Linked DNA regions of Anolis sagrei. The protein of the gene in region 1 interacts with the protein of each later gene in a biochemical or structural test. Links are inferred from orthologs where the notes say so. Each region holds a gene or a part of one and is shown on either strand. Other genes may lie near its edges. The genes, in order: SRC, MAPT, TAMALIN and ENO1.

What was found.
Region 2: the proteins of SRC (region 1) and MAPT form a complex in vitro, tested with the Homo sapiens proteins (3 studies listed by BioGRID and IntAct, with this or other methods). The link is inferred for Anolis sagrei from reciprocal best matches to the Homo sapiens genes SRC and MAPT.
Region 3: of the proteins of SRC (region 1) and TAMALIN, one has a biochemical effect on the other in vitro, tested with the Homo sapiens proteins (2 studies listed by BioGRID and IntAct, with this or other methods). The link is inferred for Anolis sagrei from reciprocal best matches to the Homo sapiens genes SRC and TAMALIN.
Region 4: of the proteins of SRC (region 1) and ENO1, one has a biochemical effect on the other in vitro, tested with the Homo sapiens proteins (4 studies listed by BioGRID). The link is inferred for Anolis sagrei from reciprocal best matches to the Homo sapiens genes SRC and ENO1.

Annotation. Positions count from the first base shown.
Region 1 is NC_090024.1:216,703,815-216,712,054, forward strand, and holds the start of SRC (proto-oncogene tyrosine-protein kinase Src), read left to right. Parts: upstream 1-5,087; 5' UTR 5,088-5,846; intron 5,847-8,240. UniProt on the Homo sapiens protein: Non-receptor protein tyrosine kinase which is activated following engagement of many different classes of cellular receptors including immune response receptors, integrins and other adhesion receptors, receptor protein tyrosine kinases, G protein-coupled receptors as well as cytokine receptors.
Region 2 is NC_090026.1:44,349,726-44,357,528, forward strand, and holds the start of MAPT (microtubule-associated protein tau), read right to left. Parts: upstream 3,424-7,803; 5' UTR 3,240-3,423; intron 2,290-3,239; exon of another isoform or gene 2,199-2,289; intron 1-2,198. UniProt on the Homo sapiens protein: Promotes microtubule assembly and stability, and might be involved in the establishment and maintenance of neuronal polarity.
Region 3 is NC_090022.1:139,273,766-139,282,074, reverse strand, and holds the start of TAMALIN (protein TAMALIN), read left to right. Parts: upstream 1-4,673; 5' UTR 4,674-4,689; coding exon 4,690-4,857; intron 4,858-8,309. UniProt on the Homo sapiens protein: Plays a role in intracellular trafficking and contributes to the macromolecular organization of group 1 metabotropic glutamate receptors (mGluRs) at synapses.
Region 4 is NC_090033.1:2,612,548-2,620,286, forward strand, and holds the start of ENO1 (alpha-enolase), read left to right. Parts: upstream 1-4,212; 5' UTR 4,213-4,311; intron 4,312-7,739. UniProt on the Homo sapiens protein: Glycolytic enzyme the catalyzes the conversion of 2-phosphoglycerate to phosphoenolpyruvate. In addition to glycolysis, involved in various processes such as growth control, hypoxia tolerance and allergic responses.

The DNA.
Region 1 (8,240 bases):
GATGGATGGATGGCATCCTTGAAGTGACTGGACTGACCTTGAAGGAGCTGGGGGTGGTGACGGCCGACAGGGAGCTCTGGCGTGGGCTGGTCCATGAGGTCACGAAGAGTCGGAGACGACTGAACAAATGAACAACAACAAAATGGGCTCATAAAAAGAGATCCTCCAGATAGTCGCAACCCAAGCTGCAGGAGTTACTTCCCCCCAGCTAGGTGTTCATGGGACTGCAGTGCTAGTACCTGATCCTACAATGTGTTAACTCAGATATCTGAATTTCTTCCCAAAGGGAATTAAATGTAGTCTCTCACCAGTTATTGATGTTTAGGATAATGCTGCCATGATGCAGTTGGATCTTAGATGAGATTATTTGGGAATAACCAGAAGACAATTAAATGGGGCTTCCTTGAAGGCACAGTACTAGGGCAGGGAGGTCCTTGATGGATTTCACATGCTCCCTGGCTCTACTCAGTTTTACCCAACTCAGCTGCATCTTAGCCTTCTCAGGTTCTGATTCATATAGTAATTCCCATATTTTACTTCATGGAATAAGAAGTTAGTATTCTTGAAGGAACTCCCCTCAATTTTTTATTAGTGCATCGTGCTGATGACTCACACTTCACTTGTGGTCAACTAAGGCCCCTTCCACATAGCTGAATAAAATCCCACATTATCTGCATTGAACTGGAATATATGGCAGTGTGGACTCAGATAACCCTGTTCAAAGCAGCTATTGGGTTTATATGGCTGTGTGAAAGGGGCCTAAGGCCTCTAGATCCTTGCCATATGTTGCCGTAATGTGACTGTACTTTAACTTCTATTAGTGCAGGTACAGAAATGGCTTGGGTTGCTTTTCTCTGGACACATTCCAGATTGTCAATATTCTTGAATTGTGGTGCTCACAAAGGCACATAGTATTCCAATGAGCTCTGACCAAAGTGGAACACAGTGGCACAACAACTTCTGTCAATAGTAAGACAATATATTCTTGTTGATACAGTCCAGAACTGCATTGGCGTGTGTTTAGCTTTTGATCAACCAAGACTCTTAGATCCTTGCCCAGGCTATGTGCTTTTATAGTTTCTACTGGCGCAGGTACAGAAAAAAATCAACAGCTGAGGGCATGACGGCTCCTATTTTAGACTGAGGTTGCAACCTTTACTTTGAATTATCACCCCGCCCCCAGCAAAAACTCCAGTTAAGAAAATAATGTACACAGAGATGCAGAAGGTATCGATCCATCTCTCTCAGTACTGCCTGCTCTACTTGGCAGCACCTCTTTAGGGACTTGGGCAAAAAAAGCTTCTTGTTTCATTTTTCATTGCACTCTTCCACTGAACTCAGTTTCATCCCATGAGTTATAACCTATAGGAAGACTGATACATCTGAGTTGACTAGATGGGTTGGAAGCACCTGGAAGCTGTTAAAGACTCTCATCTGCTAGATCTGTACCAATAAAAGAGCCTCATTTAATTCCTTGGTTATCATTCCCAGGTAATCACACCTAAGACCCAGCCATATGGCGGTAGTTCTGTCTTACCTATAGGGTTTTCTTAGGCAAGGAATATTTAGAGGTGGTTTTGCTTGTTCCTTCCTTTGAAAGGTAGTGTACAGCACCTGGCATTTGTTGACAGCAGATGCAGGGAATGCCATGGATGTAGCGTAGATTTCAGAAAGTCCTTCGTCAAGGTCCCCCATGACCTTCTGGCAAGCAAACTAGTCAAATGTGAGCTAGGCAAAACTACGGTTAGATGGATCTGTAATTAGTTAAGTGAATGAAACCAACGGGTGCTCACCAATGTTTCCTCTTCATCTTGGAAAGAAGTGACAAGCGGAGTGCCATAAGCAGGGTTCTGTCCTGGGCCCGGTCCTATTCAACATCTTTATTAATGACTTAGATGAAGGGTTAGAAGGCATGATCATCAAGTTTGCAGATGACACTAAATTGGGAGGGATAGCCAATACTCCAGAAGACAGGAGCAGAATTCGAAATGAACTTAACGGATTAAAGAGATGAGCAAAAACTAACAAAATGAAGTTCAACAGTGACAAATGCAGGATACTCAATTTAGGCAGAAAAAAATGAAATGCAAAGATACAGAATGGGGGACGCCAGGCTCGAGAGCAGTACGTGTGAAAAAGATATTGGAGTCCTCGTGGACAACAAGTTAAACATGATCCAACAATGTGATGTGGAGGCAAAAAAAAAAAAAAAGCCAATTGGATTTTGGGCTTCATCAATAGGAGTCTAGTGCCTAGATCCAGGGAAGTCATGCTACCCCTCAATTCTGCCTTGGTCAGACCACACCTGGAATACTATGCCCAATTCTGGGCACCGCAATTGAAAGGAGCTGTTGACAAGCTGAAGTGTGTCCAGAGGAGAGCAACCAAAATGATCAAGGGTCTGGAGAACAAGTCCTATGAGGAGCAGTTTAAAGAGCTGGGCATGTTTAGCCTTCAGAAGAGATGGCTGAAAGGAGACATGAAGAGGGCCTTGCATAAATATGTGAGAGGTAGTCATATGGAGGAGGGAGCAGGCTTGTTTTCTGCCGCCCTGGAGACTAGGACATGGAAAAATGACTTCCAACTACAGGAAAGGAGAGTCCACCTTAGGAACAGCTTCCTGACTGTGAAAGCTGTTCAGCAGTGGAACTCTCTGCCTCGAAGAGTGGTGAAAGCTTCTTTGGAGGCTTTTAAACAACTGGATGGCCATCTGTCAGGGGTGCTTTGAATGCGATTTTCTTGCTTCTTGTCAGGGGGTTGGACTGGATGTCCTACAAGGTTTCTTCCAAGTCATGTTACCCCTCTATTCTACCTTGATCAGACCACATCTGGAGTACTGTATCCAATTGAAGGGAGATGTTGACAAGCTAGAATGTGTCCAGAAGAGGGCGACTAAAATGATTAAGGGTCTTCCAACTCTATGATTCTATAATCCCAGTATGAACAAGGGCTGATCCTGCTTTGCTTCCAAGATGAGAAGGGTTTGGGCACCTGGATGAAGGTACAACAGGCATGGGCAAACTTCAGCCCTCCAGGGGTTTGGAAGTTCAACTCCCACAATTCCTAACAGCCAGAGTTGAAGTCCAAAAGACCTGGAGGGCTGAAGTCTGCCCATGCCTGTGTTAGAGCAGTGTTTCTCAGCCTGTGAGTCCCCAGATGTTTTGGCCTTCAACTCCCAGAAATCCTAACAGCTGGCAAACTGGCTGGGATTTGTAGGTCAAAACACGTGGGGACCCACAGACTGAGAACAACTATGTTAGAGGGTGGGGCAGTCCCTTCCATGCTTACCTGAGGGGAAAACAACTCCATGGTTTTACGTGGAAAATTTCTGTTTGAGCAAACAAAACAGGGGGAATTACTGGACCTTCCTATCTCCTTTTCAGATTTTTTGAGGGGAAAGAGGAAGGAAGGAAGGAAGGAAGGAAGGAAGGAAGGAAGGAAAGAAGGAAAGAAAGAGACAGGAAGGATGGAGAGAAAGGAAGGAGAAAGAGGGAGGAAAGAGAGAAGATAGGAAGGAGAGGAAGGAAGGAGAAAGAGGGAGAAAAGAGAGAAGATAGGAAGGAGAGGAAGGAAGGAGAAAGAGGGAGGAAAGAGTGAAGATAGGAAGGAGAGGAAGGAAGGAGAAAGAGGGAGAAAAGAGAGAAGATAGGAAGGAGAGGAAGGAAGGAGAAAGAGGGAGGAAAGAGTGAAGATAGGAAGGAGAGGAAGGAAGGAGAAAGAGGGAGAAAAGAGAGAAGATAGGAAGGAGAGGAAGGAAGGAGAAAGAGGGAGGAAAGAGTGAAGATAGGAAGGAGAGGAAGAAAGGAGAAAGAGGGAGAAAAGAGAGAAGATGGGAAAGAAGGAGAAAGAGGGAGGAAAGAGAGAAGATAGGAAGGAGAGGAAGGAAGGAGAAAGAGGGAGGAAAGAGAGAAGATAGGAAGGAGAGGAAGGAAGGAGAAAGAGGGAGGAAAGAGAGGAGAAGATAGAATCAAAGAGTTGGAAGAGACCTCATGGGCCATCCAGTCCAACCCCCTGCCAAGAATATTGCATTTAAATCACCCCTGAAAGATGGCCATCCAGCCTCTGTTTAAAAGCTTCCAAAGAAGGAGCCTCCACCACACTCTGGGGCAGAGAGTTCCACTGCTGAATGGCTCTCACAGTCAGGAAGTTCTTCCTCATGTTCAGATGGAATCTCCTCTCTTGTAGTTTGAAGCCATTGTTCCGCGTCCTAGTCTCCAGGGAAGCAGAAAACAAGCTTGCTCCCTCCTCCCTGTGGCCTTCTCTCACATATTTATATATGGCTATCATATCTCCTCTCAGCCTTCTCTTCTTCAGGCTAAACATGCCCAGCTCCTTAAGCCGCTCCTCATAGGGCTTGTTCTCCAGACCCTTTATCATTTTAGTCGCTCTCCTCTGGACACATTCCAGCTTGTCAATATCTCTCCTGAATTGTGGTCCCCAGAATTGGACACAATAATCCAGGTGTTGTCTAACCAAAACAGAATAGAGGGATAGCATGACTTCCCTAGATCTAGACACTATGCTCCTATTGATGCAGGCCAAAATCCCATTGGCTTTTTTTGCCGCCACATCACAAAAAAGCCAATGGGATTTTGGCCTGCATCAATAGGAGCATAGTGTCTAGATCTAGGGAAGTCATGCTACCCCTCTATTCTATTTTGAGAGGAGAAGATAGGAAGGAGAGGAAGGAAGGAGAAAGAGGGAGAGAAGAGAGAAGATAGGAAGGAGAGGAAGGAAGGAGAAAGAGGGGGGAAAGAGAGAAGATAGGAAGGAGAGGAAGGAAGGAGAAAGAGGGGGGAAAGAGAGAAGATAGGAAGGAGAGGGAGGAAGGAAGATCCCCACCGAAATGATTAAGAGGGAAATTGAGTAGAGGGGGGAGAAAAAAGTCCTACGACCCTCAGGAAGAGAGCATCCACCTCTCTCCCAGACGTGAAGCCCTTGAGGACCACAATCCACCCCCTCCCTTTATAAACCACCCTCCCCAAGGCCTCCTCCTCCTCCTCCTCCTCCAGGCAGACACCACGCCCGACGTCAGCAAGCGCCTCGTAGACGTCACGCCTTGACTCACCGCGACGTCATACCTCCCTCCAACCCTCCTCCTCCTCCCCCTCCCCTTTTGCCCGGGCAGGACGGAGTCGCGCGGCTCCTTTCCGCCTCTTTCCTTCCTTCCTTCCGCTCTTCCTCTTTCCCCCCAAAAATCAAGCCAAGGAGGCGGCAGCTTGTCCTCCCCCCTTCTCTCCCCTCCCCCCAGCTTCCGGTTCTGCTGCCATATTCCTTTTTTTTATTTTAAAGGCAGGGGAGGAAAACCCGCTGGGAAAGGGAAATAAAGCAGCGCAAGCGAAGGGAGGCAAGGAAGAGCTGCGTCCTGCTCGCCTTCTCCTCTCCCTTTGGATGCTCTTCGGGTCGGAGGAGGCGCTCCAAGGCTTCCTCATTCCGGAGGAAGGAAAAGGAGAAGAAGGAGAAAGGAGACGCCGGGCTTTCTGGAAGCCGCAGCGAAGGGACTGCTGCTGACATCACTTTCTCGCAAGCCGTCCAAGTTCTGGTCCCTTTCGAGGCTCAAGTCTCCAGCGAAGGAAAGAAAAGAAGGGAGAGAAGGAAGGCAAGACCCAGGCGCGCCTCCCGTCCTAGCAAAGCTCCTCCTGAATGAATACGCGGCGCTTCCTCGCTGGGCCGCCTTCCTCTCCCTCTCCTCCTGGGTTGCCTCTGTTTACTTCCAACTGAGCCCCCCTCTCCTTCCTTCCTTTGGGTTTGGGAAGAGGGAGAAGCACACCAAGGAAGGGAGGAAGCCAAGCAGACGTCGTCTATCAGCTGAGACCGAAAAGCCGGCGGAGGAAAGAGGAAGGAAGGTAAGCCGCTCCGCCGGTGGAGAGAAGCGTCTCTCCTGTTTGCAGGGAAGGAGACAGCTCACTACTTGGCTGGATGGGACTTAGACCCTCCAGGTGTTTTGGACTTCAACTCCCACCATTCCTAATAGCCTCAGGCCCCTTCCTTTCCCCGGCTGAGGGGGGAAAGGAAAGGGCCTGAGGCTGTTAGGAATGGTGGGAGTTGAAGTCCAAAACACCTGGAAGGAAAGGCCCAAGTTTGTCCATGGGTGCCGGTTAACTGAGAGTCTGCAGCACGTGTCTGTGTTTCGAATTTCATGTCTGAATATCCCTTTCTTTCTCCTCCTCTCCTTCCTTCAAGAAAAAGGAATATGGATTAATAATAATAATATTTTCGAAGGCTTTCATCACTGGGTTGTTGTAGGTTTTTCCAGGCTATATGGCCATGTTCTAGAGGCATTCTCTCCTGACGTTTCGCCTGCATCTATGGCAAGCCTCCTCAGAGGTTCTGAGGTCACATAGCCCGAAAAAACTTACAACAACTGGCCATGTTCTAGAGGCATTCTCTCCTGATGTTTCGCCTGCATCTATGGCAAGCCTCCTCAGAGGTTGTGAGGTCACATAGTCCGAAAAAACCTACAACAACCCAATAATAATAATAAAACTTTATTTCTAGACCGCCCTCTCTCTCTGAAGGGACTCAGGGCAGTTTGCAGACACAAAACAAAAAGGCAAACATTCAATACCTTCAAATGAATACAAAATACATAAGAATAATACAAGATAATGCACAGAAACAACCGTACACTTGCAACAATTAAGCATCGAGATGGAAATGATTGAAAAGCAATCCAGTAAGAGATGGTAAACTAAAACCTGAGAAAAGCATTACAATGTTTACCCTGTAAGCAATTATGATACAATTACATTGGAATGGGTTGTTTTGAGTTTTCCGGGCTGTATGGCCATGTTGCAGAAGCATTCTCTCCTGACGTTTGGCCCACATCTATGGCAGACATCCTCAGAGGTTGAGGGGTCTGTTTGGAAACTAGAAGAATGGGGTTTAAGCCTTCCTGAGTCCTCCTTTGGAGGTTGAGAAGGGCGGGATACAAATGCTCTAAATAAATAAATAAGTAAATAAATAATCTGTGGAATGTCCAGGGTGGGGGAAAGACCTCTTGTCTGCTGGAGGCATGTGTCAACGTTGCAATTGGCCACCTTGATTAGCATTTAATGGCCTGCAGTTTCAAGGCATGGCTAGTTGCTGCATGGGGGAATCCTTTGTTGGGAGGTGTTCGCTGACCCTGATGAATTCTTATCTGGAATTCCCCTGCTTTTTGAGGCTTGTTCTTTATTTACTGTTCTGATTTTAGAGTTTTTAAAAAACTGGTTTCCAACAAACCCCTCAACCTCTGAGGATGCCTGCCATAGATGTGGGCCAAACGTCAGGAGATAATGCTTTCTGGAACATGGCCATACAGCCCGGAAAACTCACAACAACCCATTGATTCCAGCCATGAAATCCTTTGACAACACAATAATATTAATAATAGGACTTTATTTCTAGAACGCCCTCTATCCTCAAAGGGACTCAGGATGGTTTACAGACACAAAACAAAAAGGCAAACATTCAATGCCTTAAGTAAATACAAACACATCAAAATAATACAAGATAATGCACAAAAACAACAGTAAACATACAACGAAGAATTATCCATCGTGATGAAAATAATTAAAAAAAACAAACCAATAAGTGATAGTAAACTAAAACATGAGTAAAACACTACAACATATACCCTAAAAGCAATTATGATACAATTACAATAAAATGGCTAACACCTGTATTCTTTTAAGATGTATTGTAGCAGCCAAAAAATACAAGTGGGTTATGGATATTGTGTGTATATGTATGTGTATGTATCTCTTTGCTCCTGCTCCTGAATTCCCCTTTTATTCTAATGGCAGCTATTTCCACTGAGTGGGTTCATCTTTCTCCCTTTCAGTAAAGGCGGGGAAAGAAAGGCAGAGCCTGGTTCTGATGCCTTGTTGTTGTTGTTGTTTGTGCTCAGTGTGCGTGAAAGGATGCAGGCCAGGATGCTTGGCCGCCAGGGAAGAGGATCCTTGGGGGGGGGGGGGGGGCTTTCTTTTGTTGTGGTTCAGTGTCTGCTTCTATGGGAGTGAGGGGAGGGGGCTTCCTGTCTGGTCCCAGGTGCCCTCCTCCCTCGCCCTCCCTCCCGCTTCTTACACTGAGAATCAAATCATTTGGGGGAAAAGAAACCAGGGCAGGAGGGAGGGGGAGAGGGCAACCCAGGAGCTGTTATCTAGGCCAAGAGATGAAATATTAATAACACGACCCATTTCAAGGGCTTTTCCAGCCCAACCCCCCCCCCCCCCAATCCCACCCCCTGTTGTTGTTAT
Region 2 (7,803 bases), on another chromosome or scaffold:
TTTGATGACTCCACTGTACATAATGGGAGTTGAGCATCCACTGATTTTCTTATCCATGGAGTGTCCTGGAATCAAATCCAAGTGGATACTAATAGCCCACTGTAACAAGTGAAAGCTCTATGCTGCTTTATTGCCCTGTCCCAAAAGCTTGGTCCCACAGTTTTTACCATCCTTCTAAAGGACAGGAGAGAGGGGGGCGACCTGATCTCACCAGGAAGGGAGTTCCATAGCCGGGGAGCAATCACCAAGAAGGCCCTGTCTCTCATCCCCATCAATCGTGCCTGTGACAATGGCGGGAGGGAAAGCAGGGCCTCCCTGAAGGATCTTAATCTCCGCAATGGTTCATAGGAAGAGATGCGTTTGGACAGGTAATTTGGGCCGGGGCCGTTTAGGGCTTTATAGGCCAAAGCCAGCACTAAATTGTAGCCGGTAGCAAACTGGCAGCCAGTAGAGCTGGTGTAATATGGGAATTGTATGCTCCCTGTTATTAACCTAGCTGCCTCTCGGACTATTTGAAGCTTCCGAGCAGTCTTCAAAGGCAACCCCACGTAAAGTGTATTACAGTAATCTATCCTAGATGTAACAAGAGTGTGGATGTTCCTGAGAAAGCCCTGTCCTGAGTACCCACCAACCACCCCCTGTAGTTAGTGAAATATGTAATAGGATATCTTGTAATGCTAGAAGTGGCTTTTCATTTAGTTCTGTACGAACCACAAAATAACAAACAGTTTTCCCAACTAAAAATGCTTCTGTTAACACCTAGATGTCTTCCAAAACTATTCACTGTAATGGAGAAGAAATGACCCAACACGAGAGAGCAGAGCTCTAGCGTCATTTCAATAAAACCAACATTTTGTAGCAACTTCAATGGAATAGTAATAAAGGACATATTCCTATGATATACTCCCTTTCATATCTTATGTAGGACAGAATGCAGTATTAGAAAGCTGGTGTAGTGGTCACTTCAGCCAAGAAGCCACTTGGCAGCTTAGAAAATCCAGTCTTATCTGCCAACTGCGACATGGAGGTAACAGTGTTGAATAACTAAACAAAATTATTCTAAGAATGCCTCATAATATCTGCAAAATCTCAAGTATTATATAACTGCTGCCTTTCATTATAGCAAAAACTTATTGTGTTCACACATTCTGGAAGTAAGTTAAGAATAGAGTAGTGAAGCTATAAATCAACTATTTAAAGGACTGAGAGAAGAGAATGGTGATCCTGGGAAATGTTTCTATCTTGAATTGTATGATCTCATCCATCCTATCATATCACGCCACTCTTGTTGAACAAAATCACTGATGTTACTTACCAATACAGGAGTTTATATTTGCACATTGTAATTAGACATGATACTCGATTAAAAAATAGAAGTGGACATATCAATTCTAGCAAAAAGATTTAACAGAAGGGGTTACAATATTACTTCTAGCAAAAGAGCTTTCAAAATGCTAATTCTGGAAGTAGACAAAGGATTTTTTCCTCTTCATCCCCACCCAAAACTACATGAGCATACCACAATCTTTACCCAATGAGAACTGTACTTTGCAACCATGTATTCAAGCCTACCACTGGGCGTGACCAGCCGCTGCTATTACACTCTGATCCATTTTCCCCCTGTGAGAAAACCATTTGAAACTGGGGAAAAAATATCACAATGAAGACACCAAACAATTGGGCTGCACATCTCGGCATAGGCAGAGCAAAAAATGGCACTACATCTACATCCAGAAATACGTGCCGATGTATTATATTTCTGTTCAGAATACTTCTACTAATGTGAGGTCGGTAATTAAATATGGAGTGGGGTAGGATTGTAGAAGAGAGCTATCTTCATCCCCCCCCCCCCCCAACACACAGACATACAACACAACACACTACGCACTAACCTCACTCTGCTGTTACATCGCTAGATCTACATCTGGAAATATGTGCTGGTAAATTATATTTCTATTCAGAATATTTTCTATTAATGTAAGGTTGGCAATTTAATTATGGTGTGAGATGGTGGAAGAGACGTGTTTTCGTTCTCAAAAGGAGCCCTAGCCTTGCTCTGTTGTCACACCCATGATTTTAAAACCCCAAAGGTAAATCCCATAATTTTGACCCATTTATAGAACAAAGCAACCCCTCCTCTAAAGTAGATGACCTAGATAGCATCCTTTCCCCCGTGAAAATACAGTAACATAGAGCACCTTTTCCTTTGGTAGGTTGTCAGTCTATTTTTCCCCCCCAATCACGCAAACGCTCTAAGCAATCCTGGAAATATGACATGGACTGCAAAACATGGCACCACCGATGTGAAAGGGAGGGGGAAGAGCCCATCCTTTTTCTCCCTCCGAGATCCACACCTACTGCAGCACCAACAGCCTATCATTCGCCATCTCCCTCACAATCAAAACCAGTCTTCCAAAGAGGAGCACAGACCTATGGGAGGGACCGGCAAAGGGAAAAAGAGGAGGGGGAGCATGTCAAAAAACGGAGAAGAATAGAGAGTCCAAAGATGACATCCTTAAATTTTAACTGGAAGCATCACCACCGCAAGAGAGCCATTTGTTCCATTTCATTGTTTTCTTTCTCCTTCAAGTCTCAAATGGAGGAAAAAGTCACCTGTGAATCCATAGATGGAGAATTCATTTGTGACATTTTTTGATGATTTCTCTCCATCCAAAAAAAAAAAAAATCCCTCCAAATGTCTTCCAATTATCAACATGCAAGGCTGCATTGTTTGAACACTATGACAAAGCATGTGTGTGTGTAGGAAAGAGCTGAAAGGCACACCTTTCTCCTGCAAGGAAGCCTATTGAGGTTCAGGAGAGACACACCCCTGCTGCTGCCCCATTTTGCCTCAGAAGAATCAATGGCTGTGGATGGAAATGGGCTATTTTTTGCAATAAGCCCCAGAGGAGTAATTTCTCTCTCTGTGCCTATTGCCACATAAGCCTTGGCAGGTGGCAAGTGCGTGGCTCATTCACCACAAGGCTCCTTTGGAGGGAGGGGTGTGGTTAAAGAAGAATAAGGTCCTATTTGAATGATAACAGAGACTGAGCAAATGGAAAGGCAGCATGAAGCAAGCCTCCCCTGTCTGGCATGGAGCTGGAACCGTGGTGCCATTGCTAGAGCGCTCCCTCATGCACCTCAAGGCTAATAAGCCCAGACCCTTCCCAACCTCAGCCCGCTTCCCAAGCCTTGCCAAACCTCAAAGGGGCCTTTCCCCCCCTTCAGGGAAACCCTACCTGGCGCTGCGGCTGCGACCGCTGCTGCAGGGAAAGCTCGCTGGAAAAGCCTCGCTCACCAAAAGCCGGGAGGAGGGGGAGTGACAGCAGAGGAGAACGGGAGCGCGCCTCTCCTGCCGCGGCCGCGCGCACAAGCTCCCGAACCTTCGCCTATGAGAGTCCTCCCTAGCGAGCCAGATGGGGCTCTGCCGCGCAGGCGCACTTCACGCGCCGCTCTTGTCCTCTCTCGACACCTCCCTTGTTTGCGCCTGCGCACGAGCGGACGCTGCTGGCGCTCCTTTTTCTAACCTGGTTCTTTGTCTCTGGGAAAAAAAGGGGGGACCGGCTTTGAAACAAAAAAAAAATATATGCCCCTTCTTGCAAGGGTAAACTCGATCAAGGTAGGGATAATTCCACCAGAGAAGTCACTTGATAAACCAACCAACACAGAATACTATTTGGAAACAGAGACATGCTGGACCACTCTTGACAGCCATCATGCCAGACTACACAGAGAAGCCATTGAAATCCACAAACGTAGACAATTTCAACAGAAAGGAGGAAAGCATAATAATCTGGTTACCAGTATTAATTAATCTTATCTATATAAATAAAAATGTAATGTTCATTTGTGGGATTAACATAACCCAAAAACCACTGGATGAATTGACACCAAATTTAGGCACAATACACCTATCAGACCAATGAGTGACCATCACGCATAAAAACACAACAGAAGAGACTTAAAAACCAAAAATACATTACAACGCATGCAGAAAACCACATATATACACAAACACACATATATACACATATACATAAATATATATACACACACATATACACATATATATACATGCAAAACACATACACAGATTGGGCCACAGCAACACATGGTAGGGGACGGCTGGTCTATATAAATAAAAATGTAATGTTCGTTTGTGGGATTAACATAACTCAAAAACCATTGGACGAATTGACACCAAATTTGGACACAAGACACATATCAAACCAACCAGTGACCATCACTCATAAAAACACTGAAAAACACTGCAGAAGGGACTTTAAAAGCCAAATAATAAACAATACATTACAATGCATGTGCAAAACCACATACACAAATATATACACATACATATACACACACAAAACACATATACACAGAATGGGCCACAGCAACGCGTGGCAGGGGATGGCTAGTCTATATAAATAAAAATGTAATGTTCGTTTGTTGGATTAACAGAACTCAAAAACCACTGTGGGAATTGGCACCAAATTTGGACACGCTACACCTATCAACCCAATGTATGTCCTTCACTCAAAAAATAGATTTTGTCATTTGGGAGTTGTAGTTGCTGGATTTTATAGTTCACCTACAATCAAAGGGCATTCTGAACTCCACCAATGATTGCACTGAACTAATCTTGGCAGATAGGACTCCCATGACCAACAGAAATACTAGAAGTGTTTGGTGGGCATTGATCTTGAGTTTGGGAGTTGTAGTTCACCTACATCCAGAGAGCACTGTGGACTCAAACAATGATGGATCTGGACCAAACTTGGCACACATAGTCAATATACCGAAAAGCGAACACCAGTGCAGTTTGGGGAAAATAGACCTTGACATTTGGGAGTTGTAGATACTGGGATTCACAGTTCACCTACAATCAAAGAGCATTCTTAATCCAATGAACAAGAGAATTAGGGCAAACTTCCCACACAGAACCCCCATGACCAACAGAAATTACTTAAGGCCATCGAGTCCAACTCCCTTCACCAGGGTAAGAAAACGTGATCAAAGCCCTCCTGACAAAGAGCCATCCAGTAGTAGATATAGATAGATATGATTCACACACACACAGATATAGTATCATAAATTTGAAAGGGACCCTTAAAGAAGGACAATTATATGTTGCATGTTCCAGAGTAGGCAAACCACACACTCTCCGCATCAACACTGACAAAGAAACAGCAAGAAATACTGTTTACCCACAAGCATCAAGACATTACATATATTAGAAACCAACATTTTCTCATTACTTTATTTTCCTGATCACTAGACTGGGCCATAGCAACGCGTGGCATGGGACAGCTAGTAGATAAATAAAAATGTAATGTTCGTTTGTGAGATTAACATAACTCAAAAACCACTGGGCAAATTGACACCAAATTTGGACACAATACTCCTATCAGGCCAACAAATGACCATCACTCATAAAAACACTGAAAAACACAGAAGAAGAGATTGAAAAAGCCAAATATTATATATACATTACAACGAATGTGCAAAAGCACATATATACACAAACACACATATATACACATATATATATACACATATATATACACACAAAGCACATATACACAGACTGGGCCACAGCAACGTGTGGCAGTGGATGGCTAGTCTATATAAATAAAAATGCAATGTTCGTTTGTGGGATTAACAGAACTCAAAAACTAATGGGCGAATTGCCACCAAATTTGGCCACAAGACACCTACTAACCCAAGGAGAACCATCACTCAAAAAAATTGATTTGTCATTTGGGAGTTGTAGTTGCTGGGATTTATAGTTTACTTACAATCAAAGATCATTCTGAACTCCACCAATGATGGAATTGAACCAAATGTGGCACATAGGACTCCCATGACCAACAGAAAACACTAGAAGGGTTTGGTGGGCATTGAAACCTGGCACGAATATTCCATATGCCCAAATATGAACACAGATGGAGTTTGTGGAAAATAGACCTTGACATTTGGGAGTTCAGCATGGTCTTTGATAGTTCACCTACAATCAAAGAGCATGCTGAACCCCACCAATGACAGAATTGGGGCAAACTTCCCACACAGAACCCTCATGATCAACAGAAAATACTTAAGGCCACCCAGTCCAACTCCCTTCACCAGGGCAAGAAAACGTAATCAAAACCCTCCTGACAAAGAGCCATCCAGCTATAGATATAGATATAGATATAGATATATAATTCACACACACACAGATATAGTATCATAGATTTGAAGGGGACCCCTAAAGAAGGACAATTATATGTTGCATGTTCCAGAGTAGGCAAACCAGACAATCTCCACATCAACACTGACACAAAAAAACAACAAAAAAAAACAAGAAATACTGTTTACCCACAAGCATAAAGGCATTGCATATATTAGAAACCAACACTTTCACATTGCTTTATTTTCCAGATCACCAGACTGGGCCACAGCAATGTGTGGCAGGGGACAGCTATAGTATATAAACAGACATGTAATGTTCATTTGTGGGATTAACATAACTCAAAAACCACTAGATGAATTGACACCAAATTTGGACACAATATGCATATCAAGCCAACGAGTGACCATCACTCATAAAAACACTGAAAAAAACAGCAGAAGAGACTTAAAAAGCCAAAATTACATTACAAACGCATGCACAAAACTACACACACACACACACACATATATGCACTCACGCATGCAAACACACATATGTACACATATATACAAATATATGCACATACAAAGCACATACACACAGACTGGGCCACAGCAACGCGTGGCAGGGGACAGCTAGTAATAATATAAAAAAAACAAAACACCAGAATAAAGAACACTACTCAGAAACAGGAATTCCAGGCAGCCAACAATCAAGTGCCTGTTAACACCTCCCAAACAATGGATGTCCCCAGGCAGTAGCAGCCAGGCTTTGCAACTGCAAGGCTACTCAGGCCCCATCCACACAACTGTATAAAATCCCACATTATCTGCTTTGAACTAGGGATCCTTCTGCACAGGCCTATATCCCAGAATATCAAGGCAGAAAATCCCACATCTGAGTGTGGACTCAGGCCCCTTCCACACAGCTGAATAAAATCCCACATTATCTACTTTTAACTGGAATATATGGCAGTGTGGACTCAGGGCCCTTCCACACAGCCCTATATCCCAGAATATCAAGGCAGAAAATCCCACAATATCTTCTTTGAACTGGGTTATATGAATCCACACTCAGATATTGTGGGATTTTCTCCTGGAATATTCTGGGATATAGGGCTGTGCGGAAGGGCCCTTAGTCTCAAGCCACTACATTATATTAGCTTCTATACCACACACACACAAAAGTTGGGGGAAAAGCATGCCCTTGTTCTATCCACAAATTGCCCCTGCTCTCTCCATCTTCCACAGTGCTACACAAATGAAGAAAGGGATGGAGGTGTACTAGTAATAACTTGTCATTCTTTCCCTGTGTTAGCCCTCCCACAGCTCTCCTATTATGCTATTACGTTTTGTAAGAAGATTTTCTTTGCCGCTTGTGATGTATTCAAGCAGTCCGTCTTGTACTGGCTTCTGAAGCGGATGAGTAGCCATGTAACCCTGTGCGTACTTATAGTAATATTTTTTTGTAGTAAACCCCAGAATTCAATGGGACTAACCTTCATAACGATACGCTGGCGGTACCAATTTATGCAACTGTAAAAGATTAATCTATACACAGGAGTCACACAACAATTGTATTTGGCTGAATTTATTATTATGTGACAAAATCAGTGTTCTGTTTCTTTAAGGCTTTGCACATTTATTGCCATG
Region 3 (8,309 bases), on another chromosome or scaffold:
TCGTAAATATCCAATATGCAGGATGTATTTTTCATTCACTGGACCAAATTGAGCACAAATACCCAATACGCAGAGGTGGCCCTAGGTAATTTTCAACAGTAAGCAAACAGTATTCCCGCCTCCCCCCCCCCCCCCCTTTCCAACAATCACTGATATATATTTTCTGTTCGTCGTGGGAGTTCTGTGTGCCATATTTGGTTCAATTCCATCATTGGTGGAGTTCAGAATGCTCTTTGATTGTAGGTGAACTATACATCCCAGTAACTACAACTCGCATATGTCAAGGTCTGTTTTCCCCCAAGAGCGCCTCGAAAGCGCCCCTGGGCAAAATCAACTATACTGCAAATGCTTACTTTGCGTAATGGGTTGAGCCACCCCTGCCAATACAACCAAATGTGAATGCTAGTGGGGAGGATTGATTTTGTAATTTGGGAGTTGTAGTTGCTGGGATTTATAGTTCACTTATAATCTGTTTAAAATAATCTTTATTAATTTTCCATTAAAAACATACAATAGCTGATGGGTAGGGTGGTAAAGAGGAGTTTAGGGTAGTGGGAGGGGAGAGTAAAAGCGTAGAAAAGAATAGGAAGTAGTGTGATTAATAGATGTTGAAACAATGTATATATACATATATATATAATGTGCCAGGTGTGGGAATCGAGAATTGGGAAGAGAGTTGTGGGGAAAGAGTGGGGGAATGGGATATGCATGATGATTCTGGCGTTGACTTCCCGGTATCTTTTGGAGGTTCTTCCTATTCCTTCATTCTTTCCCTCTTTAGTTCACTTATAATCAAAGAGCATTCTGAACTCCACCAGCAATGGATTTGAGCCGAACTTGGCACACAAAGCTCCCATGACCAACACAAAACACTGGAAGGGTTTGGTGGGCATTGACCTTGAGATTGGGAGTTGTAGTTCACCTATATCCAGAGGAGCACTGTGGATTCACGCAATGATGAATCTGGACCAAACTGGGCACGAACACTCAATATGCCCAAATGTGAACACTGGTGGAGTCTGGGGGAAATAGACCTTGACATTTGGGAGTTGTAGTTGCTGGGATTTATAGTTCACCTACAATCAAAAAGCCTTCTGAACCCGACCAACAACAAAATTGGGCCAAACTTCCCACACAGAATCCACATGACCAACAGAAAACACTGTGTTCTCTGATGGCCTTTTACGGCCCCTATGACACCCCCTCATGACCCTCTCAGGGGTCCCGACCCCCAGGTTGTGAAACACTGCTGTAAGGCATTTGAAAAGGTCAGAAACTGTGCCATGGTGGAGAGAGCAAAGCTGGCTTAGTGCGTCCTATACGTTCCCCTGGCATATGGGGCTATGCTTTTGCCTTTCACCACTGTATTCAGAAGAGATTGTTCCTTTTTCATAAGAGTTAAGGTACAATATTTACATTGACCCCTTGATAAGTCAGCCAAGGTTTTTTAGATCAATGTTTTTACTTAAATAATATATATAGCATATAGGGTAATTTGATGGCAAGCAGGTTCAGAACTATTATATTAGGGTTTTTAGATGTTAAAGGTTAACATTATAATAGCTATTATTATAATAGTTATTATTAGTTTCCCAGAAGAAGCTTGTTTTCTTCTTTGTTTATGTCAAGCGCCTTCTAGTTTTTTCCCACAAAGGCAGGATGGCCATCTGTCGGGGGTGCTTTGAATGTGACTTTCCTGCTTCTTGGCCGAATGGGGTTGTACTGGATAGCTCACGAGGTCTCTTCCAACTCTGTGCCTATGATTCTATCCCTGACTTTGCAGGGCCCAGCAGACATTATCCCTGAAATTCGGCTGGATGCCGGCAGAGGGCGCTCCTGCATTTAGAAGCCTGACCCATCCTCGTGCAGCGGGCAAAGGAGAGGCGCCCAAGTAGTTGGGAAAAGTTGAAGAGGGCAGGCATTGTGTGTGCCAGGCAGCAGGCCTGCGCACATTCCTGCCATCTCTCCTTCCATTAGTAATTGCAGGTACCCAGCTCCATTAATGGGGAGAGGCAACACAGGCCCAACACTTGCACTCCTGGGTCATGGTTTTTATTTATCGTATCATATGCAAATCAGGGGTATAGTTGTAATGTATATATTTTTAAAAAAACAAGAAGTTTAAAAACTTGGCATTATACTAAATGTCCTTTGACCAGTGGCTGGCCACTTGGAGTGCCTCTGGTATCGCTGTGAGAAGATCCTCCATTATGAATGTGGCAGGGCTCAGGCTGCATTGTAGTAAGTGGCCTGTGGTTGGCTGGACTCCACTTTGTGGCCCCATTTCTTATGGTTGGCTCTGCATCTCGTGTTCATTGCCTTCCAAGTCACCCCGTCTTCTGTGTGCCCAAATGGGAGTCTCTCATTCAGTATCAACCATAGCTTGAGGTTTCAGGTTTGAGCCTGCTACTTTTGGACTCTTACTTGCTGAGGTGTTCCTGTAAGTATCTCTGTATTAATTGATTTAAGGCGTTGGTGTGCTGGTTGAACAGAGGATGGCCCGAAGATGTCACTGCCTTGGTCCTTTCATTGTTGGCTGCTACTTCCCAGCAGATGTCAGGTGGTGCAATGCCAGCTAAAGAGTATAATTCCTCCAGTGGTGTAGGGCGCAAACACCACATGTTAATGCGCCATGCCATGTATAAATATGTGAGGGAAAGTGATAGGGAGGAGGCAGAGGTGGCCCTAGGTAATTTTCAATGGTAAGCAAACAGTATTTTGGCGCCTCCCCCCCCCCCCCCAACCAATCATTGATATAAATTTTCTGTTCATCATGGGAGTTCTGTGTGCCATATTTGGTTCAATTCCATCATTGGTGGAGTTCAGAATGCTCTTTGATTGTAGGTGAACTATTCATCCCAGTAACTACAACTCGCATATGTCAAGGTCTATTTTCCCCCAAGAGCGCCTCAAGAGCGCCCCTGGGCAAAATCAACTATACTGCAAATGCTTACTTTGCGTAATGGGTTGAGCCGCCCCTGGGAGGAGGGAGCAAACTTGTTTTCTGCTGCCCTGGAGACTAGGACGCGGAACAATGGCTTCAAACTACAGGAAAGGAGATTCCACCTCAACATGAGCAAGAACTTCCTGACTGTGAGAACTGTTTAGCAGTGGAACTCTCTGCCCTGGAGTGTAGTGGATGCTCCTTCTTTGGAGGCTTTTAAGCAGAGTCTGGATGGCCATCTGTTGGGGGTGCTTTGAAGGTGATTTTCCTGCTTATTGGCCAAATGGGTTGGACTAGATGGCCCACGAGGTCTCTTCCAACTCTATGATTCTAAAGACTCTATGACTTTACTAGCCGTCCGCTGCAACACATTGCTGTGACCCAGTCTGTGTATATGTTTTGTGTGTGTGTATATGTGTGTGTGTATATTTCTGTATATTTGCATATGTGTGTTTGTGTGTGTGTGTGTATATATATATATATATATATATATGGTTTTGTGCATGTGTAGTAATGTATTTTTAATTGGCTTTTTAAGTCTCTTCTGATGTGTTTTTCGGTATTTTTATGAATGATGGTCACTTGTTGGCCTAATAGGTGTATTGTGTCCAAATTTGGTGTCCATTTGTCCATTGGTTCTTGAGTTATGTTAATCCCACAAACAAACATTACATTGTATTGTCGAAGGCTTTCATGGCTGCAATCACTGGGTTGTTAAAGGTTTTTTTGGGCTATATGGCCATGTTCTAGAGGCATTTTCTCCTGACATTTCGCCTGCATCTATGGCAAGCATCCTCAGAGGTCGTGAGGTGACCTCACTACCTCTGAGGATGCTTGCCATAGATGCAGGTGAAATGTCAGGAGAAAATGCCTCTAAAACATGGTCATATAGCCCAAAAAAACCTACAACAACGCAAACTTTACATTTTTATTTATATAGACGATTCTACAATTCTTGGGAGGAGAGCAATGTCCAATCTTGATAAAATAATGAAGAGTAGAGACATCACACTGGCAACGAAGCAATGGTATTCCCCGTAAGTAACCCATGGATGCAAAAGCTGGACCATAAGGAAGGCTGAGCGAAGGAAGGTAGGCACTTTTGAACTGTGGTGCTGGAGGAAAGTTCTGAGAGTGCCTTGGACCACAAGAAGATCCAACCAGTCCATACTTCAAGAAATAAAGTCCGACTGCTCATTGGACGGAAGAATAGTAGAGGCCAAGATGAAGTTTTTTGGCCTCATCATGAGAAGACAGGAAAGCTTAGAGAAGATAATGATGCTGAGGGAAATGGAAGGAAAAAGGAAGAGGGCAAGGGCAAGATAGATGGATGGCATCCTTGAAGTGACTGGCTTGACCTTGAAGGAGCTGGAGGTGGTGACGGCCAACAGGGAGCTCTGGCGTGGGCTGGTCCATGAGGTCACGAAGAGTAAGGAACGAATGAACAACAACAAAAGGATTCTACATTGTGGAATGGAAGAGAGAGGAGAATTCCTCGAGGGAGGGGCGTGGCTTGTTTGGAGAAGAGGCGTGGCTTGCAGGAAGAGAAGGCGTGGTTTCCATTGACTCCAGAGGCGGCTGAAATGGCAGTGGGCGCGTCTATGCAGATGAGGGGTGGGGCTATGCAGATGAGGGGGCGTGGCCTTGGCAAGGAGGCTCGTCCCCTTCCCTTGTCTTCGCCAGCCTCCCCTCGGAGGAGCCCATCTCGCTCGAAGCCGTCGCCCACCCACCCACCCTGCTCGGCCATGACCCTGCGGAGGCTCCGGAGGCTCCGTCCCGGGCAGCCCGAGGAGGAAGCGGCGGGCTCCGGGAGCATGCCGGGGGCGAGGGGCGTCCTCGGGGGGAGAGCCTCGGAGCTGGAGCTGGAGAAGGCGCTGGCGGCCTCAGGAGGGACCCTGCCCAGAGCCAGGCGGGTGAGTGAAGGGCGGAGACCGAAGGAAGCAGGCAGGGAGGGAAGCCCCCATCCCTCCCTCCTCGTGGCCGTCCCCAGCCCTGCCATGCGGGTCCCAAGGCCGAGTTCTGGGGAACTACTTCGCAGGACTTTCGCCTTGACATGTCTCCTGACCCCCATCCTTCTCTGTCTCCTGGAATCCTCGAGCTGGAAGAGGCACAGTCCCACCTTTTTCTGGCAAAGAACCATCAAAGCCTCCCCGACAGATGGCCATCCAGCCTCTGCTTCGAAGGAGAAAGAGGCTCCTCTATGTCACATCCTCTCAAGCATCTATTCTAGACCCAGCCATGGAAGTCGCAGGATCACCTATGGAAGTGCTTCTCAAACTCTGCTCCTCAAAGTGTTTTGGGCTTCCGCTCCCAGAAATCCCAACCAGCTTACCAGCTGTTAGGAATTGTGGGAACTGAAGTCCAAAACATCTGGAGGAGCACAGTTTGGGAAACTGGCCTGTTTTTTTAAAATGTCAGGAGCAACTTGAGAAACTGCAAGTCGCTTTTAGTGTGAGAGAACTAACAGTCTGCAGGGATGTTGCCCAGGGCACACCCGGATGTTTTACCACCCTGTGGGAGGCTTCTCTCATGTCCCTGCATGGGGAGCTGGAGCTGACAGATGGGAGCTCATCCCGTTCCCTGGATTCAAACGGCCAATCTTTCGGTCAGCAATCCTGCCAGCACAAGGGTTTAACCCATTGTGCCTCTGGGGGCTCCTGGCCTATGGTTTCTAGGACTACATGTATAAGATGATACTTTTTTTTGGTTATTTTTAAGAGAGAGAAAGTAGGGAAACATCAGTGCAAAAGTTAGGAAGAGGTGTCTGTGAGTCTCGATATAAAGGACATTTCAAACGTGTTGTGGTCCAGCTTTGTGTGTTTTGTATTGTCGAAGGCTTTCATGGCCAGAATCACTGGGTTGTAGTAGGTTTTTCTGGGCTATATGTCCATGTTCTAGAGGCATTTTCTCCTGACGTTTCACCTGCATCTGTGGCAAACATCCTTCTCTGAGGATGCTTGCCATAGATGCAGGCAAAACGTCAGGAGAAAATGCCTCTAGAGTCTAGAACATGGCCATATAGCCCGGAAAAACCTACTACAACCCTTTGTGTGTATTTTCTGGGACACACAGTTGAGGGTCAGTTTGGCACTGTCTTGGCTGGAGTGGTTGTTTGTCTTTCTCTTCCACAGCCGTATTATTCCTGACAAAGGCGTGCAAGCCCTTTTGGGTGTGATGCACAAACCCAGCGCTGAATCCCTAACCATTTATCCCCTTAGCAAGCACTTTATATCTTTAAGGGTACTGTATTGTGCAGTTTTCTGTGGGATTCAGTTCTGGGTAAACATACAAAAAGGATTGGGCAGTATTTCAACTTAAAATATAGGGATCAGGTTTAAAGTTGGTCTGCGTGTTGGAAAGTTTCCTCCGTGGGATGCTCGTTTTTGGGACAAGAAAGAATTGTGTATCTCTCAACCCATACTTTGTGGTACTTTCCAGTTCTTTGCTCTGGGTCCATTTTTGGATTCCCTGGAAAAGTTGGTCTGACAGCAAGAAGGGAATCTTCCTATAATTTCAACGAACTTCCTATCAACCCTTTTTCTAAGTGCTTTTAGGAAAGCTGATCAGGCATTTCCTGGGAGCAAGGGATAGCATACTCAGATGTAAACCTTTTTGGGTTACTGTGAAGTTTCTGGGCTGTATGGCCATATTCCAGAAGCATTCTTTCCTGACGTTTCACCCACATCTAAAGTAGGCATCCTCAGAAGTTATGACTTCACAACTTCTGAGGATGCCTGCCATAGATGTGGGTGAAATGTCAGGAGAGAATGCTTCTGGAACATGGCCATACAGCCCAGAAAAGTCACAGCAACCCAGTGGTTCCAGCCATGAAAGCTTTCAATAACATAGGTTACCTTTTTGGCATACAATTCCCCAAATCGTCCAGCTAGCGTGGCCAGGGGATTCTGGGAATTGTGGTCCACAGAAGTAACTTTTCCAGACTCTTTAGGATCTTGAGCATGCCCCTCCTCCCTGCTTTCGAACTGTCACTGGCTTGTTTTTATAATCTTGGCAGACTAGACTGTGCCTTCTAGGAAGTAATCTTTGGGATTTAACTCCTCATAAATTAGTTCAACTTCAGGCTACCATCCTTTTGTGAATTTCCTGTCCAGTTTCCTTCCACACGGCAAGTTGCTGCAGGTAGTTCTATATTATATATCTAATGATAATGAATGCAGTGAAATGACAGAGTTTTAACATCAAATTGTAAAATAAACATGCATAAGCCTTGAGAATGTGTATGCATGTGATAGACCATAATTTCTATTTTAAAAGAGGGATAAAAATGGATAGAGCCATCATTGACAATAGGTTCTGAACTGCTCCCGTGTTACCAGAATGAACAAGGCTTTGTAGAGACCAAACTATTGTTTTATCGTGTCAGAGGCGACTTGAGAATACTGCAAGTCGCTTCTGGTGTGAGAAAATTGGCCATCTGCAAGGAGGTTGTCCAGGTGATGCCCGGATGTGTTACCATCCTGTGGGAGGCTACTCTTGTGTCAGTGCATGGGAAGCTGGGGCTAACACACAAGAGCTCACCCCACTTCCTGGATTTGAACCACCAACCTTCAGATCTTCAGGTCAGCAGTTCAGCCCTTGCGTCACCGTGGCTCCAAACTATTGAAAAGTTCCCTTTGTTTACTGCAGCTCCCAGAATCTCCTTACCAACTGGCTATTGGCTGTGGTGTCTGAGGATATCTGGGAGTTTTCCACTGTTTAGTTTCCAGGCCACTTGTTCCCAACTCCCTCTTGCTTGTAATTTACCCAGATGCTTCTCTTGAGACCTCTGCTCTCTCTCTTTACCAAGAAACTAATCTTCTTGGTTGTCACTTGATCCAACCATCCTCTATTGATTTCATGAATATTAAGTCCATGTGAGAAGTTGCAGAAGGTTGTTCGCCAGGCTTGCTTCTCCAATTCCCGGTTTTCATAGCAAAGAGTTGCAGTTCTTGCTCATTAACCATTTTTTGCTTTCCTTTTTGTCATGGGGTTCAGTCAAAATCCCCTTGATGCAATAGGGTTGCATGGGCTGTATTTATTTATCGGGTGTTGTACTCCCAATTTCTTCCCTGCCTGTGTCCCAAAGGTCGGTGGTTTGAATCCGGGGAGTAGGGTGAGCTCCCATCTGTCAGCTCCAGCTTCCCATGCGGGGACATGAGAGAAGTCTCCCACTGGATGGCATCCCTTGAGCAATGTCCTTGCAGGTGGCCAGTTCTCTCACACCAGAAGCAACTTGCAGTTTCTCAAGTTGTTCCTAACATGAAAAAAAAAGTTGTGTCTTTGGATTAAACATTTCCTATATTGTGTTTATGTTGCTCCAGAATTTCCTTGCTTTTTTACAGGACCACGACACATGACAGGAATT
Region 4 (7,739 bases), on another chromosome or scaffold:
TAGACTCAAGCAATGATAGATCTGGACCAAACTTGGCACGGATACTCAATATGCCCAAATGTGGGGAAAAACGACGACATTTGGGAGTTGTAGTTGCTGGGATTTATAGTTCACCTACAGCCAAACCCTTCCAGCATATTGGAGTTGTGGTTCACTTACATCGAGAGAGCAAGGTGGACTCAAGCAATGATAGATCTGGACCAAACTTGGCCCAGATACTCAATATGCCAAAATGTGGGGGGGAAAGATCTTGACATTTAGGAGTTGTAGTTGCTGGGATTTATAGTTCACCTACAATCAAAGAACATTCTGAACCCCACCACTGATGGAATTGAACCAATCTTGGCACACAGAACTCCCATGACCAACAGAAAAAAATGGAAGGGTTTGGTGGGAATTGATCTTGATTTTGGGAGTTGTAGTTCACCTACATCCAGAGATCACGGTGGACTCAAACAATGATGGATCTGGACCAAATTTGACACAAATACTCAATATGCCCAAATGTGAAGACTGGTGGAGTTTGGGGAAAATAGACCTTGATATTTGGGGGTTTTAGTTGCTAGGATTTATAGTTCACCTACAATCCAAGAGCATTCTGAACTCCACCACTGATGGAATTGAACCAATCTTGGCACACAGAACTCCCAGGACCCACAGAAAATACTGGAAGAGTTTGGTGGGCACTGAACCTTGAGTTTTGGAGTTGTAGTTCACTTACATCAAGAGAGCAAGGTGGACTCAAGCAATGATAGATCTGGACCAATCTTGGCACTAATACTCAATATGCCAAAATGTGAACAATGGTGGAGTTTGGGAAAAATAGACCTTGACATTTGGGAGTTGTAGTTGCTGGGATTTATAGTTCACCTATAATCAAAGAGCATTCTGAACTCCACCAATGATAGAATTGAACCAAACTTGGCACACTGAAAATACTGGGTTTGGTGGGCATTGACCTTGAGTTTGGGAGTTGTAGTTCACTTACATTGAGAGAGCAAGGTGGACTCAAACAATGATGGATTTGGACCAAATTTGGCACAAATACTCACTATACCCAAATGTGAACACTGGTGGAGTTTGGGAAAAATAGACCTTGACATTTGGGAGTTATGGTTGCTGGGATTTGCAGTTCCCCTACAATCAAAGAGCATTCTGAACTCCACCAGCGATGGAATTGAACCGAACTTGGCACACAGGACTCCCATGACCAGCAGAAAATACTGGAAGGGTTTGGTTGGGCACTGACCTTGAGTTTGGGAGTTCTAGTTCACCCACATCCAGAGACCACTGTGGACTCAAACAATGATAGATCTGGACCAAACTTGGCACAGATACTCAATATGCCCAAAAGTAGCAGCTGCTCATTCGAATGCTAATAAAGCAGGCCTCTTCTTGCCCAAACAGATGCCAAGGCTAACAGGAATGCTCTCTTCTCCCCTTGCATGAGAAAGAATCCTCTTGTTCTTAAACAGGCATGCGCAAGGCCTGATACTGTCTGCTGTGAATCTGGATTCCCAGGAAAAACCATGTGGCTATCTATCGTAAAGACATGTATTCATGCTACGGGAAATATGACACACACATGAAGACTTGACTGCATTGTAAACAACGTTGTAAACACTCGCATGGCGTGGATTCCACTTTGTGGCCCCATTTCTTGAGGTTGGCTCTGCATCTCGTGGTGCCCGAGTGCAGTCTGTTCAGCGCCTTCCAAGTCGCCCAGTCCTCTGTGTGCCCAGGAGGGAGTCTCTCATCTGGTATCACCCACAAATTGAGGTGCTGGGTTTGAGCCTGCCACTTTTGGACTCTCGCTTGCTGGGGTGTTCCAGCGAGTGTCTCTGTAGATCTTAGAAAACTATGTCTTGATTTAAGTCGTTGACGTGCTGGCTGATACCCAAACAGGGATGAGCTGGAGATGTCACTGCCTTGGTCCTTTCACTATTGGCTGCTCCTTCTCGGCGGATGTCAGGTGGTGAAATACCGGCTAAGCAGTGTAATTTCTCCAGTGGTGTAGGGCGCAGGCACCTCGTGATAATGCGGCATGTCTCATTCAGAGTCACATCCACTGTTTTAGCGTGGTGAGATGTGTTCCACACTGGGCATGCGTACTCAGCAGCAGAGTAGCACAGCGCAAGGGCAGATGTCTTCACTGTGTCTGGTTGTGATCCCCAGGTTGTGCCAGTCAGCTTCTGTATGATATTGTTTCTAGCACCCACTTTTTGCTTGATGTTCAGGCAGTGCTTCTTGTAGGTCAGAGCACGGTCCACAGTGACTCCCAGGTATTTGGGTGCGCTGCAATGCTCCAGTGGGATTCCTTCCCAGGTAATAATCCTCAGAGCTCGGGATGCTTGTGTGTTCTTAAGGTGAAAGGTACATGTCTGTGTTTTAGATGGATTAGGGATCAGCTGGTTTTCCCTGTAAGAGGCAGTGAGAGCACCTAGAGCTTCGGAAAGCTTCTGTTCAACCATCTCAAAGCTCCCTGCTTGAGCGGTGATGGCACGATCATCAGCATAGATGAAACTCTCTGTAAATATATGGTATGAAAATATATATTGTAAGCTGCTCTGAGTCCCCTTCGGGGTGAGAAGGGCGGCATAGAAATGCAGTAAATAAATAAATAAATAGATGCCAATTTTCAGAGACTTGGTACGAACCGGCCCCTGGTAAATCTGTTTGCCTACATTAATTCCCTGTTGCTTTTGCCTTTTCCTTCTCTTTCTTTCTCTTTCCATTGATGCCAGTACCACTTAACTCCCTTTCGCGGCGGTGTGTTGACACACAAAAATCCAGCTGCGTGTGGCAAATCAACAAAAGAGTGTGGTCATGATGAGCATGACTGCATGGAGCACCGTTGCCTTCCTGTCAGAGCAGTACCTATTGATGTACTCACATTTTGATGTTTTTGAACTGCTAGGTTGGCAGAAGCTAGGGCTGACAGCGGAAGCTCACACCGCTGGGGATTTTCCATCCTTGAAAAAAAGAAAAGAGAGAAATTAAATATATTTTTAAAAGGAAAGAAAAAAGTCTCCTTCCTCTCTCTTTTTTTGAATTGCATTTTTGTATTGTATTTTTTGTTTTGTATAGTAATTTTTTTTTTGTTTTGTATTGTACTTTTTGTATTGCATTTTTGTATTTGCAAAAAATGGGGATTTTCCATCCTTGGAAAAAAGAAATAAATTAAATGCATTTTTTTAAAAAACAGGAGAGAAAGAAAAAAAGTCTTTTTCCTTTGCACTCTCTTTTTTTTGTAGTGTATTTTTTTGGTTTGTATTGTATTTTTATTTTATTTTTTGTATTGCATTTTTGTATTGTATTCTTTTTTTGTATTGTATTTTAATTTTATTTTTTTTATTGGATTTTTGTATTGTATTTTTTTGGTTTGTATTGTATTTTTATTTTATTTTTTGTATTGCATTTTTGTATTGTATTCTTTTTTTGTATTATATTTTTATTTTATTTTTTGTATTGCATTTTTGTATTGGATTGTTTTTGGTTTGTATTGTATTTTTATTTTATTTTTTTGGATTGGATTTTTGTATTGTATTTTTATTTTATTTTTTGGATTGCTTTTTTGTATTGGATTGTTTTTGGTTTGTTTTGTATTTTTATTTTATTTTTTTGTATTGCATTTTTGTATTGTATTTTTTTTGTTTCGTATTGTATTTCAATTTTTTTTTGTATTGCATTTTTATTTTATTTTTTTGTATTGCATTTTTGTATTGTATTTTTTGTTTCGTATTGTATTTCAATTTTATTTTTTTTTGTATTGCATTTTTATTTTATTTTTTGTATTGTATTTTTTTTGTTTCGTATTGTATTTCAATTTTATTTTTTTTGTATTGCATTTTTATTTTATTTTTTTGTATTGCTTTTTGTATTGTATTTTTTTGTATTGTATTATTTTTTTGTATTGCATTTTTGCATTGTCTTTGCAAAAAAATGGGGATTTTCCATCCTTGAAAAAAAAAGAAAGAAATTAAATGCGGGTGTTTTAAGAGTGAAAAAAAGGAGAGAGAAAAATTCTCCTTCCTTTCCTTTGCTCTCTCGCTCTCTCTCTCTCTTTGAGCAAAAAGGAAGGCGTTTGTGCACGTAGCGCACGCGCCAGAAAGGCTAGGCGAGCCTGGCGAGAGGCGCGTCCTGACCAATCAGGAAGGAGCCGGGGACCCAGCCAGCCAATAAAAAGCCGAGTCCCGGGCATTGATTTGCATACGCCCGGGTTATAGCTCAGCGCGAGCCAGGCGGATCTTCCCCAGTTGCACAGGAAGCAGCAGCCTTTGCAATTCTCTTGCTTGGTTCTTTTTGCAAACAGTAAGTAGTTTTCTATCATTGTAAGTTACTTTTTTTTTTGCATTGCCAGGCGCTGTTCTTAGTCCTAGGTAAGTGCATGGGTGTTAGTGTATGTGATTATTATTTGGATAATATATTCTAAATTCCTGCAATGGATTTGGTTGCAAAGGGAACAAAGGACCACTTTGCATCCTTTCCCAAATATCTAGGTAGTTTTTTAAGGTCCTCTTCCATCAGAGCAGGGCCCAAAATGCAAAAGGAAGGCCCTAAATAAAGGAGAAGTGAACCTATCATGGGCTGAGAGAGTGTGACTATTTAATGTATTTTTCATATATTTATTTTTCTAATATAATATATATTAATATAAAATGATATATTAGAATCTAATATTATATTTAAGTGCATGTTAACATATGATAGTAATTTAATATTGAATATAAATATTAAATTACTATTATATATATTTATGTTCATATAATATATTATTATATATTTATTTATGTTCATATAATATACTATTATGTATTTATTTATTTATGTAAATAAATAATAACAGTATAATCATGTAGTATGATATAATAATATAATATTAAGTGCATATTTAATATATAATAATAATTTAATATTTTTATTTTTATAATATGATATTATATATTATTATTATAATGTAAAATGATAATATTATATTAGAATATAATAATATAATAAGAAAGTAAATATTTAATATTTAATAGTAATTTAATATTGAATATAAATGCTGTAAATAAATAATTACAGTATAATCATGTAGTATGATATAATAATATAATATTTAAGTGCATATTTAATATATAATAATAATGTAAAGTGATAAATGTTATATTAGAATATAATAATATAATATCTAAGTGCATATTTCATGTATCATAATAATTTAATATTGAATATAAATCCTGTAAATAATTAATTACAGTATAATCATGTAGTATGATATAATAATATAATATTTAAGTGCATATTTAATATATGATAATACTTTAATATTGAATATAAATGCTGTAAATAAATACAATATAGTATAATATATAATATAATACTTAAGTGCATATTTAATATATAACAGTATACTATTTAAGTGCATATTAATATTTTATAATAATTTAACATTGAATATAAATGCTATAAATAAATAATATTCCTATTTGGAGCTAGGGTTGGAATTCTCCAGGCCTAGATAAAAATAATAATAAAACTTTGTTTATTGAACTATTTTATTGATTTATTTTATATTTATATTATATTTTTATTTTTTCCAATGTTTTCCCATGTGGGTTAACAGCAAACATGACCCAATATACTTGAAAACTTAAGCAACTGCAATAAAAAAATATATGAATTTAATAACATGTGTGGCTTGGAAGATAAAAATATTAAAATACATTTAAAGGTATACTTAAAAGTTCACATGCCCTCCAAAATCCCATTCATTGCTCAAGGTCATTTGTGGCTGAGTGAGGATTTGAATCCTGTGCTCCGGAGTCATAGTCCAACACTCATAATCTGATTTCTTGTTACCTAATAAGGGATTATGATGGTTATTTTGCAAGATTTCTTTGGGGGAGGCTTTCCCCTTGCCTTCCTCCGAGGCTGAGAGAGTGTGACTTTGCCCAAGGTCACCCTGGTCTCCCACATCTGAGAAACCGCTCTGCGTTCATTGGTGCCTCTTAGATCTTATCAGGAGAAGCATAATAATAATAATATAATTTTAAGTGCATATTTAATATTCCCATTTGGAGCCAGACTTGGAATTCTCCAGGCCCAGATAATAATTATATAATATCATCAGATAATAATTATATAATACCGTAATGTAATATAATATTATAATATAGTAGGATAATACAATATATTCTAATATAGTATAATAATACTTGAGTGCCTATTTAGTATTCCCATTTGGAGCCAGGCTTGGAATTCTCCAGGCCCAGATAATAATTATATAATATAATATTATTATATAATATGATAATATAATATATTCTGATATATTATAATAATATTTTGAGTGCATATTTAGTATTCCCATGTGGAGCCAGGCTTGGAATTCTCCACGTCCAGATAATAATTATATAATATCATAATGTAATATAATATTATAATATAGTATGTTAATGTAATATATTCGAATATATCATAATATTGGAGTGCATATTTAATATTCCCATTTGGAGCCAGGCTTGGAATTCTCCAGGCCCAGATAATAATTATATAATATCATAATGTAATATAATATTATAATATGATTATTTATTTATTTATTTATTGGCTTTGCTTATATACTATATATAGTGCATATTTAGTATTCCTATTTGGAGTCAGGCTTGGAATTCTCCAGGTCCAGATAATAATGATATAATATGATAATGTAATATAATATTATAATATAGTATGATAATATAATATATTCTAATACAATATAATATTTGAGTCTATATTTAACATTCCTATTTGGAGCCAGGCTTGGAATTCTCCAGGTCCAGATATTATTATTATTATATATGATATTATAATATAATATAATAACATTTCAGTGTATATTTAATATTCCTATTTGGAGCCAGGCTTGGAATTCTCCAGGCCCAGATAATAATAATAATAATATAATAATAATAATAATAATTATTATTATAATAAGATATTACAATATAATATTTAAGTGTATATTTAATATTCCTATTTGGAGCCAGGCTTGGAATTCTCCAGGCCCAGATAATAATTATGTAATATAATATAAGAATATTATAATATGATGATATATTATAATATTTAAGTGCATATTTAATATTCCTATTTGAAGGCAGGCTTGGAATTCTCCAGGTCCAGATAATAATAATAATTATCATTATTATTATTATTATTATTAAATGATATAATATTACAATATAATATAATATTTAAGTGTAGATTTAATATTCCTGTTTGGAGCCAGGCTTGGAATTCTCCAGGTCCAGATAATAATAATAATAATAATAATAATAATTATTATTATTATTATTATTAAATGATATAATATTACAATATAATATAATATTTAAGTGTAGATTTAATATTCCTGTTTGGAGCCAGGCTTGGAATTCTCCAGGTCCAGATAATAATAATAATAATAGTAATTATTATTATTATTATATAATATGATGTTATAATATAATATAATAATATTTAAGTGTATATTTAATTGTCCTATTTGAAGCCAGGCTTGGAATTCTCCAGGTCCAAATAATAATAATTATTATTATTATTATTATTATTATTATTTTATTATATGATAATGTGATATTACAATATAATAATATTTAAGTGTATATTTAATATTCCTATTTGGAGCCAGGCTTGGAATTCTCCAGGTCCAAATAATAATAATAATAATAATTATTATTATTATTATTATATTATATGATATTTCAATATAA